Linked DNA regions of Caenorhabditis elegans. The protein of the gene in region 2 purifies or fractionates together with the protein of the main gene of each other region. This does not show direct contact. Each region holds a gene or a part of one and is shown on either strand. Other genes may lie near its edges.

Region 1 (7,911 bases), on a different chromosome or scaffold from region 2:
CAATATTGGCAATTTGCCGATTTGCCGATTTGCCGGAAAAATCGTTTGCCGCTCACCCCTGATTTGTGCCCCGGTTAGACCGTCAGCAGTTCGGCGCTTGCCACCGACTTTCGACTGTTCCGGGATCCCAACAGCTTTTTTTCCAAGAAAGTTGTTTTGTCAACTTTTTGACGTAGAAGTTTAGTTATTTTCAGTCTTGTTTTAATAGATACGATTCACAGGACAAATTGGCAGTTTCGTATGATAGGTTTACCCAGGCACCCCTGATTCAAATGCTTCAAAATCTGTTGAAAACCTTTATCGGTATAAACTTCAAGTATAGAGGATCAGATCTGACAAGAAATTTATGCATTGAAAAGTTTGAAGTGATGACAACATGCTGTACCCCTTTGACAGTTTTAATGTTTTAGTACCCTGGAAAATCATATCGTACAACTGTTCCGAAAACGTTGAGATCTTCATTCTTCCTATTCCCCATGTCAACAATCTTCCCGTCACAGTAAATCTGAATTATATCGCTGTATTGTCAAGTGCATTAACTTTTTGTCTCCCAATTTCCCCTCCGGCGCTCTCGCGGAGCCAACCGCCATTGCTACAGAGACAACATCCATTTGTTTGTGTGGCCACAGCTCTTTTCTTTTTTCTTCTTCTTCTTTTTTTCTGCACGGCTTCTGCTTTCGGCCGTGTCCGTTGCTTGAAAGCCAGCAGGAGAAGAAGAAGCAGAAGAGTGTGTATAGAAGTGGAGGAAGACCGTGTTGTCTATGTCTTTATGTTTCGGTCTCTCTTTCTCTTTCTTCTACACCCTTCACACCAAAAGTGGCTGCTAGCAAAAGATGAAGATATAGAGAGAAAGATGGAAAGAGAGAGAGAGAGAGAGCTCAGCAGATCGCTCATTCATTTTTTGTTTCGCATTACTTCCAATTTGTTTGTTTTCATTCTTTTTGGTAGTTGTAGTAGTTTACTTGTTTATAGATATTTTTGTAATTTTTTACTGAAAATTGAGCATTTTCCATCTTCATGTTAATTCTTTATTGTACAATTAAAAATTTGGAAAAAATAAACTTTCTGGAAAATAGTTTTCTGTGGACTATAGCCTTTTTTTCCAGTCAAAAGTGCAAATCAAACAGTCTTTGCCAATATTAACTCTGAAAATTTACGAAGAAAATGTTCTACCCAATTTTTAATTATTCTAATTCTGTATGCAACAAAGCTCTACATCTTTCAAGTCCAATTTTTCTGAAAACTATTTGAGTGGACTCCGGAAAAATGGACTCTGGATGGAGCCCAAATATTTTCAAAAAATTTATCTATTTTCCACTATTTTTTCACTCTACATAATTATACCAAATCTTTGAAGATGCACGAAGATGCACAAGATATATCTACAATTTCAAAAAGCGGATTTTTTTGAAAGCTTGACAATTCACCTAAAAAAGTATTCTAGTGGACCCCAAAAACTGGAAAAACTGGAATACTAAAAAAATTTTCAAACATGTCCATTTACCTGAAAACTATCTGCGTAGACTCCGGGAAACTTTCGACTGAAATTTAAAAAAAAATCTAATTTGACAAAAGGTTAAAAACTTTATTGAGTAGATTAACTAAAATTTTTCCAATCTCTCGATTTTTTAAATCAAATTCGTGAATTTCCAAACTAAAAGCTTTCAAGTAATTATCATCAGTTCCATTAATGAACAAATGCCAGACCACCGAAGCAAAAAAAAAAAATCTAAAAAGACATTTCTGTTGAAAAAATGCTTGCACTTCTCCCCTTCCACCCGTCCCATTTATTCTCCCATTTTCCATATTTTATTCGTTGTTTCCTTGTTTTGTGTCTATTTTTATCCTCCTTGCAACTATTTTTAACTTCATTCATATATATATTTTTCAGATGGAGCGGATAGTATCCCGCGTTCGTCGATTATCTCCGTTGCACACATTTTCAGATGCTCTTCTCATTTCGTTGCTTTCTGAATCAGATTTTCAGCCGGATAGTATTCAACAAGGTGTTGTATGTGAGTTGAATCTCGGAAATTTTTGGAATTTAAATTGAACTTCAGTATTCGAGAAAGATGAGCCAACAGAATACTGGTATCTACTACTTAGCGGAGAAGTTCAATTGTATAGTAAAACATATGTAAGTATTTAGTACTTTTTAAATATGTCGCTGCAAAAAAAAGTGATTTGGAAGATAGTGGAAGTTAGTTTTCAATAAAATTATTTTTTGGAAAAAAAGTTCCAGGTTGAAAGAACATACAAAAAGCTTTCAGAATGTTCATCTACAATTTCATTTCTTGAACTTAACTGACGTATTCCAATTATAATTTTCCAATAAATTTTGACATAGTTTTTACGACAAAATTACATACAACTGCAAATGTTTAAAATTTTTGTAGACTGGAGATTTCAATCACTTGAAAACATTACGATGTGGAGCACTTTTTGGTGATCTTTCAACGTTGACACATTCCTGTTCGTGCTTGGTAACCCGGCCTGCACAATTGATTCGGATAGCTCAAAATCATTTTTTATCTGTATATAATGTAAGTTTTTCTGCTTATAAAAGCCGTTTTTTTTAAAATATGGATACATCTTATCTCTCCTTACAATCGATGACACGAGTTGTTTTTTTTTCAAAAATTGCACGAAATGTGCTCGAAGACTCTAATCTTATAATCTTACGTGTGGGGTGGGATGAAGATAAATTTTAAGTTAGAAAAAAAAAAGAATTTCTTCAAGAATACGGCTAGTTTTTTGTTAATGGAATTTTGAGAAAAAACACAGAATTACGAAAACAGTTGTAAATTTTCAGAAACATGGCGATCACTTACAACCGTTCATAATAATAATGCACGATATTTTGACGGATGAAACCCCATCAGACCCAATTCACCCTCATAGTTCTGGACTTTTCAATGGACAAAGAAGTATGGATCTCATTTCAACGGAAATTAATCCTTCGGAAATTGTTTCGGTATCTACAAATGGGATGTTGTCAAAAATGATCCTTCCATCTATTCCAAATCAGAGAGAAAAGCCGATGAACAGAGTAGTAGTGAATCAACAGAAAAATGAAGAGAGGAATTTTATCGAATTTCATAATCCAACGGGAATAGAGAAACAGATTCGGGATTCTGGAGGGATTTTGCATAGGAAAATGTTAACGGATAATCATCAAGTTATTAGGGATATTACAACAGAGCATACGGTTGGTTTATCTTCAAAAACAACAGAAAACTATTTTTAAAACAACTAATAAAATTCAGGTTTACTAGAAATTGAAATTTTTGAAAAATATTCGTTTTTTTTAATTAAAAAACGACAGCGAAAATTTTTGAAAATTTTCGACGACACCCTTGTTCCATCATAAAAAATATGAAAATTTTCAAAACATTTCAAATTTTGTGTGAATTTTGTTTCCAAACCCCTCAAAATGGAGACGGTATTTTCAATTGCCCTACGTCACATGATAAATATTTTTGGATTTAAAAAAAATTAAAGGAAGTTTTTTTCAGTATATTTAAACAAAACCCCGAAAATTCTACTTCCTCTTTATTTTTTGGAGCCTATTTTTTAATGCAGAAATTATGTATTTGAGAAATTGATCACCATTTCGTTCTTTAATTTAATTTAATTTAGTTTATTTACGCTCTCGAGGAGACGTTTTTCAAATATTCTTCAAATTCAAATATTCAGTTCAGTAATACTTTCAGAGGGTTCAAAATTGCATGATCGGTGCTGAAATGATTGACTGGCTTCTAACGCTTTTTGTATCAACATCCACCACATGTTCAAGTCTTTCAAGAATACAAATGAGCGCAATTTGGCAAGTCCTTCTCAATAATGGACTCATTTCTCATATTGATGGTGAACACCAATTCTTGGACAAAACAAATTCGTATTATAGATGGGTTCAACAGTTTAGAAGTAGGAATAAGGTAGGATTTAAGTAGGATTTTTGAATTGAAATTTTGAAATTTTGATTTAAAATACAGGTAGCACCAAGTATTGAAGAAGTTTCTAAAAGTATTACACTCCTTTCATCAGTGGCACCGGAAACTTTATTTCTGATGATTGTTTCAAAACCGTGAGTTTTCCCTGAATGCCATAAAGTCTTAATATTCAAATATCAGAGGTTTTGAACGAAGTCCTGAAGAATTAGAAGTGGTCTATGAAGAATTAACATTTATCAAAGCTCTATCCCATCTCAGCACAATGGTCAAACGGCAACTATCTAATTTTGTGAAAGTTGAACAATATGTTCATGCTGGAAGCGTTGTATTTCGTCAAGGAGAAATTGGAGTATACTGGTATATTGTACTAAAAGGAGCTGTCGAAGTGAATGTGAATGGAAAAATTGTTTGTCTTCTGCGAGAAGGTGATGATTTTGGAAAACTTGCACTGGTGAATGACTTGCCGAGGGCTGCAACAATAGTTACTTATGAAGATGATTCAATGTTTTTGGTTGTGGACAAACATCATTTTAATCAGTAAGTTTTAGATTTGTGAATAAGAAAAATTTTTAAATACATTTTTTTTGAAGAATTTTACATCAAGTGGAAGCAAATACAGTTCGTTTAAAAGACTATGGTGAAGATGTTCTTGTTCTTGAGAAAGTTGACATTCCACGTGGGGCGGCACTTGAAAACTCGAATTCTTGTAACTTTAACTGCGGATATTCAGTAATGGCTGGAAAGGCGGAGAAGATTTTGGAATATGTTTTGGAGACGAGAATTGATGCTCTTGGTGATGATATATCTGGTAAGTTGATGTTTTTAGATCGTTGATTTTATAATATATGTAGCTTTTGTTCGGTTGATATAATACTTGAAAAAATAAAAATAAAACAAATTTTCTTCTATTCAATTTAATTGAAGTGGGTTATCTCTAAAAACACATAGATTCAAGATACCGTATTTCCTCAAATAGTATTGCGCCCCATAGATCAACTTTGAAAGCTTATATTTCAGTTGTCGTTACTCCTATACAAAACTTGTCAACTGACAAAATATTGTTAAGTACTTTTTTTTCAGCTTTGTAATTAACTATGTAACTATATTTTCCAAATTAACCGAGATATAGCTTATCAAAATAATGTACTCTGACTAATAGAGGAAATTCGGTATTTGCAAGTAAAGTTTGCTATAGACAGTGGATTTTTCATATTTTTTTTTAGTATTTCGAACAGTCCGAGTATTTTTAAAAGAAATTCTCCACACGGCCGTACTCCCAAAGCATTTTTTTATATTTCAGAACTTGACGTTTTTGTCGAAGACTTCATCTTAACCCATGACGCTTTCATGCCAGACAACACCGTCTGCAATTTTCTCAAATCGTATTATTTTCGGACACCATATGTATGTTTTATTTACTTTCAAACTGATTAAACCCATTTCGAAAAAAAAAATTTCAGAGAGCAACTCGAGACTCAATAACCGATTCTTGCACGGAAGAAGTTCGATGTAAGCGGAGGGTCGTACAATTTGTATATGTATGGTGTAGCCTTTTGCGAGTCAATTTTTTTCTGAATCCTGTCACAAACTCTTTTGTTGAAGAACTGTTTTGTCATGTTATTGACGATAGAAAACGATTGGGAGGAATGGAGGATATATTGACAAGAATTGGATCGATTAGATCTACAAGAGAAAATATGCAATTAGTATTGGCTCGACATCCGGCAATTGTTCTAGATTGTGGAGTATTATCTGCACATACTCCGTGTCCAGTTCTACCATCAGATGTTTGTAATCAAATTATATACTTGGCAGATACAACATGCTTTGTTCTTCCGATTCGAGTTGATAAAACTGCTGAAGAGATTTGCGAACTTTCGAGACGAAGAATGAGCTTCTCTGCGGAACCTTTAAATTTGGTAGAAGTAAAATCAAATGGAGAGAAGTTAATATTCAGCCCAAATGATAGAGCTATTCCAACAGTTTTGAGTTTAAACTCGAAACTATATGTAGTAAATCGAGAAGAAATTCCGTTACTTGTTCCAATGGAAGATCAGAACGGACCAACTCCATCTTCACATTCCTCAATTCTTCATCTAATTGATTCTCAAGAGCTTGCGCATCAACTTTTTCTTTTTCACCTGCAATTGCTAAGATCTACGGATTCTAATGAGTTACTGTATCAAGTAATTGGAAGAGAATCGTTTCCATTAAGTATGCCATTCAATCTTGATCTATTAGTTCGAAGATTCAATGAAGTACAACATTGGTCGACTACAGAAATTCTTCTGGCTACTGAAGAGAATCGAATGGAGATTTTGAAAAAGTTTATCTCAATTGCAACAATGTGAGTATTCTTTCTGTTTCATATAGTTGTGTAAATTAAAAAATTTCAGTGCTCGAGAATATCGCGATCTTCTAACAGTTTTTGCAATAACATTAGGACTCAGTCATACATCAATTAGTAGATTGACTCTCACTTGGAGTGTAAGTTTTTTTTAGAAAATATTACTTTAAAGTACGAAAAACTGCCTAAAATTTAAAGATGCCACAAAATAAAACCAAAAAAAAAAATCGAAAATCCGAATCAAAAACGCTTTATTTTGATTGTGTAAAAATGCGGCAATTGCCATTCGGCAATTTTTTTGCGGGAAATTTTCAAATTACTGGTTTGCCAATTTGTCGTAAGTTTTTAATTTGCCGGTTTGCCGACTTGCCGGAAAATTTCATTTTCGGCAAATAACAGATTTGCCGTTTGCCAGTTATCAGATTTTCCGGAAATGTTTAGAGGGATTTTTTAAAAGACGGAAACACTTAAAACTGTACCTTTTTGAAATGTTTTTTTGTTGTTTAATTTAGATGTTTTGATAAAATTTGCTTACTTTTTAAACTAGATGTAGGAACATTTATAGGATGCGTACAATTTGCCTATTAAAGTTGAAATTCTGAAATTTGCAAAAAAAAATGTGCAAAACCTCAGTTTGCCGATTTGCCGAAAATTTTCATTCCGGCAATTTGCCGATTTGCCAATTTAATCTTAGCCCAAATTTCGCATTAAAAAGTCCCACTCTATATACCTTTAAAAAAATCGATACTTCTACAAAAGTTAAGGTCCAAAAATTAAAGTTCTAATTTTTCAGAAGCTACCACCTGCCTCTTTGAAAACATTCTCAGAACTAGAAAATCTGTTGGATCCAACAAGAAATCATCGAATGTATCGACTTCTTGTCTCCAAAATGTCATCACCGTACATTCCATTTGTTCCACTAATTTTGAAGGATTTAATGTTTATTCATCAGGGAAACAAGTCATTTTATAATGGTCTTGTGAACTTTGAAAAAATGGTGAGATTTTTTAAGTTTTCAAATACAAAAGAAAAAACAAAAAAAAAAATCGAGAACACCTTCCTTTTCGAACTTATTTCAAAATGAGAACTGCAAAACCAATCAGCGATTCTCTCTGCTCATTTCTGCACCAATCAGACAAAGTGGGCTGAGTTCGAAAATGCTGATTGGGGAGAAAGTGGGTGTGGCTTTTTATTTTGGAGGAAGTTCAAAAAGATTTTTTTTAAATGTGTCAATCTTTCGAGATTTTAAAAGTTCTTTTAAAAATCTGCAAAATCCGAACTCCATATTTAAGCATTAGAATTTTTCAGCACATGTTTGCAAAAATCTTTCGAAGTTTTCGGCAGTGTAAATCTCAAATGGATAACGGAGCAGAACATGAATTCATTGAGCCACAGAGTTTAATTCGAAACTTGAGAGTATGTTGGAAATTACTTGAATAAATTTTAGTTGCAAATTATTTCAGGTAATCGATAATCAAAAGAAACTAATGCAGCTGTCATATGAAATTGAACCGAAATCAGCACCGAAAAGAAATGTGATTTTTCATTAGCCCTTCTAGATATTTAATTTATTATTTATTTTTCGATTACCATTAATTTTAATCATGTTTT
Region 2 (3,952 bases):
TGACTAAAACTACAAGCTTTTATACCAGTTCTTATCAAGATGAAATCAAGTTCAAATACAAATATTGTTTAATTATTTTCCGTGTAGCTTTATTTATTAAGCCTCTCCGTTAAATTTCATTTGAATTATGATTTTTAACGTGGTCCGTGGTGGTTATTGGATTTCATTTTTAACTTTTCCAGTGTCAATGGATCAATACATCATTTCTATTGGAAGCTAGCCTTTTTGGTTGTTTTTAGAGCAGGTTTGGGTATTGTGGTGCTCGAAAAACTCAATTTTTTTCAAATCCACTATATATCATCATTCTGATAATTTCGATTATTCCAATTATTTTGCTTCTACACATTACGAACCATAATATTTTTTGGAACAATCTCTAATGATGTTTCGTCAAATTTTTTTGACGGATCCTAGAGATTGCACAAAAAGGTTTTTTTTGTTAAACTAAGGCTCATAAAATCAATATTTTGGAGAGACTAAAGAGAATCTGAAAGGAGCCATCTGGAATTGTTCAACATTTCAAAAAATATTCCCATTTATTCCCAAAATAAACAGTATCGGGAACAGACCAATATTAAATTACAAAAAAAACCACCCATCTAATAAGAAAATAAGAGAAATCGTAGCACTAGATATAATGCACTTTTTGTACAGATTTCAGGCAAACCGGGGTTATGGAGAAATCAATAGAAGCCCTACAATAATACATATGAATACAAAGTACAAGAGCTGTGAAATCTGGAAGTGAAAGAATTGTTTAAGTCGTTTTCTGTTGGAAACATTATTGCTTTTCAAACTAATTCCCATGCTTCAAAACTCAAAAAAATCAAAGAGTTTTGAAAAAGTCAAATAAATAAATACAATAAATACAGGCTACATAATATGGCATCCCTTCTTCTTCCCATTTTTCCCATCTGGATCATCCATTGTCAGTGCCAATTGTCGTTTCTTTTCCAGTGCAAGAAGCTGCTGAAATAGTTCTGTGATGTTTTCGTTGTTTTTCGCGGATGTCTCGATGAAGCCACATTCCATATTTGTTGCAACTTTCTGTCCAGAGTTTGAAGAGACTTCTCGTTTCTGAAATTTTGCAAATTTTGTTTTTCAGATTTTTTCTAATTTTTTATTGTTATTTATTTTTAAAATGTGATATTTTATCCGCCATGAGCTACCTGAGATGTCTCAGCTCTCAGTTTGATCTAGATTCAGAAAATTATTTTTCCCAAAGCTTCACGAGCGAGTTTTAGGTACCGTTTCCGGTAACTTTTAAGACACCAAAACTTTCCTCAAATTCCATTTTCAAATTTTAATATACTCTTTTGAAGTAAACTGACAAAGACTATTAAATTATAGGTTTTGAATATTTCTTGATGTGTGTTTTAAAGAATAAGTATGATGTTACATTCAAAAGTTTTCTGCTAAACATTTATAAAACTCACTGATTCTTCATCTTTTTTGTTTCCAACGAGCATTATTGGCGTTTCAGCAATTGCATTCCCCTTTACTTCCTTCATCATTTCAATAATCGGTACTAGCTCAGCAAATGACTGCTTACTGAAACAAGAAACGAGTTTATTATAATCTATTTAAAACGCATTAGAACTTACTTCGTAACGCTATAAATGAGAATAAATGCATTTCCCTTGCTGATCGACAGTCTTTGCATCGCAGGAAACTGATGACTTCCGGTTGTATCTGTGATTTGAAGAGTGCACACATTCTTCTGATTGCAACTGATCACTTGTCGATAGGTATCTTCGATAGTTGGAACATAATTCTCATTGAATGTTCCTTTTACAAATCGCTGCGTTATCGATGATTTTCCAACTCCACCCGCGCCGAATACGGCGACACGGTAGTCCGAGGTCGACGCCTCGGCTACTTTGCTTCCCTGGAAATTTGGTAGCGATGAGAGTATGAACTATTTGAATCGTTACATTGTTTTAAATGTTTTAAAGTTGTTGAAATAGAATTTCACATAACTTTGAGAGCTGATATTTTGCACATTTTTTGGAGTTATGAAAAAATGTGAGCATTTGGCAACCTACTAGAGCATTTTTTAATACGAAGCTTGTTGCCCTTATATGCCGAATAATTATTCATAAAACCGTTTTCTACAATAAATAATCGAACTCAAAAACTAACCGAGCCAGCCGTCGTGGTTGCAGCTGTGGCCTCAATGCTGAAATCAGTATCCAGCAGATCACTGGGCTCCTTTGGGTCGATATCGTCTAGTCTGAAAAATACGACATTTCAAAGAGAAACAAAAAGTTGTGAAGATGACAAGTGTGAAAAAGAGATACAAACACCAAAAAAAGTAAAAGAAAAAAGAACAATATAGCAAAAAAGACAAAAAAGGACTGAATAAGAACGAGAAGTGAGTCCAATTTCCTATGGACTCGAGGAGCCGCGCCCCGCCCACTTTCTTCTTCTGCTCACTTCTTTGCCACACCAACTTTTAATTATCTTCTCTTTTTTCTTTTTTTTTCCTTTCATTGGAGCAGGGGCAAAAGTGAATGTAGGAAAAGTAGAAAGAACATGATGACGAGTAGAAGAAAAAAAGGAAAGAAAAGTATGGAAGGAAAGTGCTTCTCCTATTTTGAGTTTACTTTGCTAGAGGGAGTGGACAAAGTGATGGGCAGAAAAAGGTTTTTTTCGGGCGGGGCAAGAGAAAGAGACGGAGAAAGTTTGAGTTTTGAGTTACACGGACCCACGAGGTCCGATGAGAAAATATTCAAAAGAGGTGGTGGAACATTACGAACTTGTGACCGGTTTCTCAGATGCACGTAGCAACAATTTTCACAGATAAAGGAGCAAGGGCTGAACAAGAATTTGAGATTTTGTGAACTATTCAAATTAAGAATTTTACAATTAAGAGTACGGTACGGTACGGTAGAGTGCAACCAGTGGGAAATTGTTTTAAAAGATTAAAACGGAAACTTTATTGGCGGAAATATATTGGTGGCTCAAGTGAAAATCAGGAAAAAGCGGATTTTATCAGTTTTCAAAAAATCAAATAAAATTTAGAACAAATTTTCTGAATTTTTCCATCATGGTATTCGGTCATTATGACCATATAGGCGTATTTTAAATAATTTTCCCACTGACCGTACTCCCCCTCTAAGTTGTGAATTTAAAACTGTGAATATTAGTAAATTTGCCGAAAGTTAAGTTTCACGATCAAGCATTGCAAGCTTACCGCAATTATGTAAATTTGAAAAATTTTTGAGGAATTTCCCAAAACGAAATATTGAGGAGTGGATGACCGGAGAATTATATCAGAAAAAAATTTTGACAAACAAATTTGGACAAACAAGTTATTGAAAGTCCTCTGTAACACTAAAAAATAGACGATCGCCCAGAATCAGGAAAACGGGCATCCGGGCGTTAGTTTTTTTTTTAGGAAAAACTGTTCCAACTGTAATGTACGGAATTAGATATGTTCACTTCTAGCCTTTCTTTGACCTTTTACTCTTTTTCTCCCCCATTCTTATATTTTCAATCTAATATAGAATTCGTACATATGAGTACTAGCATTGAATAATATCCGATTTCTCTATAAATCACTGGGGGTAAGAATGCTTCCTTTTCCTTCTTCCATCTACCAAAAAAGAAACCTGACAGAAATCCAAAAGAATGGAGAAGATTTGAAAAAAGAATGAAAACACACACAAAAAGCGTTTCGGCCCATAAAATTTTCTTTGCTCTCGTAATGTTATTTTGTTTTTTTTTTGGGCAAGGTCCCCCCTTTTCTTTTTTGCTAAACCCCTTCTAAACTTGGTTTATGTCGAATTTCTATAGTTACATGGCAATAAACGTTGACATTTTTCTGTGGAAGCACATGAGCCATAAGCTTCAGATTTTTCTACAATTTTTTCAAGAAAATGTCAGGGATTGGGAAAAAATTTTGTAATCGTTTGTATTCGAGCACGGCACAAGGGGTGTATCGGATGGA

Evidence for each region.
Region 1: the proteins of drn-1 (region 2) and epac-1 purify together in Caenorhabditis elegans (affinity purification with western blotting, with the first as the bait; one study listed by BioGRID). This does not show direct contact.

What each region holds. Positions count from the first base shown.
Region 1 is NC_003281.10:10,187,327-10,195,237, forward strand, and holds the start of epac-1 (Rap guanine nucleotide exchange factor 1), read left to right. Parts: upstream 1-1,885; 5' UTR 1,886-1,891; coding exon 1,892-2,015; intron 2,016-2,060; coding exon 2,061-2,137; intron 2,138-2,396; coding exon 2,397-2,543; intron 2,544-2,812; coding exon 2,813-3,208; intron 3,209-3,713; coding exon 3,714-3,938; intron 3,939-3,995; coding exon 3,996-4,087; intron 4,088-4,133; coding exon 4,134-4,490; intron 4,491-4,543; coding exon 4,544-4,761; intron 4,762-5,253; coding exon 5,254-5,357; intron 5,358-5,413; coding exon 5,414-6,300; intron 6,301-6,349; coding exon 6,350-6,440; intron 6,441-7,093; coding exon 7,094-7,297; intron 7,298-7,608; coding exon 7,609-7,716; intron 7,717-7,763; coding exon 7,764-7,850; 3' UTR 7,851-7,911. UniProt on the Caenorhabditis elegans protein: Guanine nucleotide-releasing protein. Together with GTPase drn-1, may regulate acetylcholine release at the neuromuscular junctions probably downstream of G-protein gsa-1 and adenylate cyclase acy-1.
Region 2 is NC_003280.10:5,269,613-5,273,564, forward strand, and holds drn-1 (GTP-binding protein drn-1), read right to left. Parts: upstream 2,234-3,952; 5' UTR 2,200-2,233; coding exon 2,143-2,199; intron 1,889-2,142; coding exon 1,605-1,888; intron 1,552-1,604; coding exon 1,437-1,551; intron 1,078-1,436; coding exon 874-1,077; 3' UTR 524-873; downstream 1-523. UniProt on the Caenorhabditis elegans protein: Displays low GTPase activity and exists predominantly in the GTP-bound form. Together with epac-1, may regulate acetylcholine release at the neuromuscular junctions probably downstream of G-protein gsa-1 and adenylate cyclase acy-1.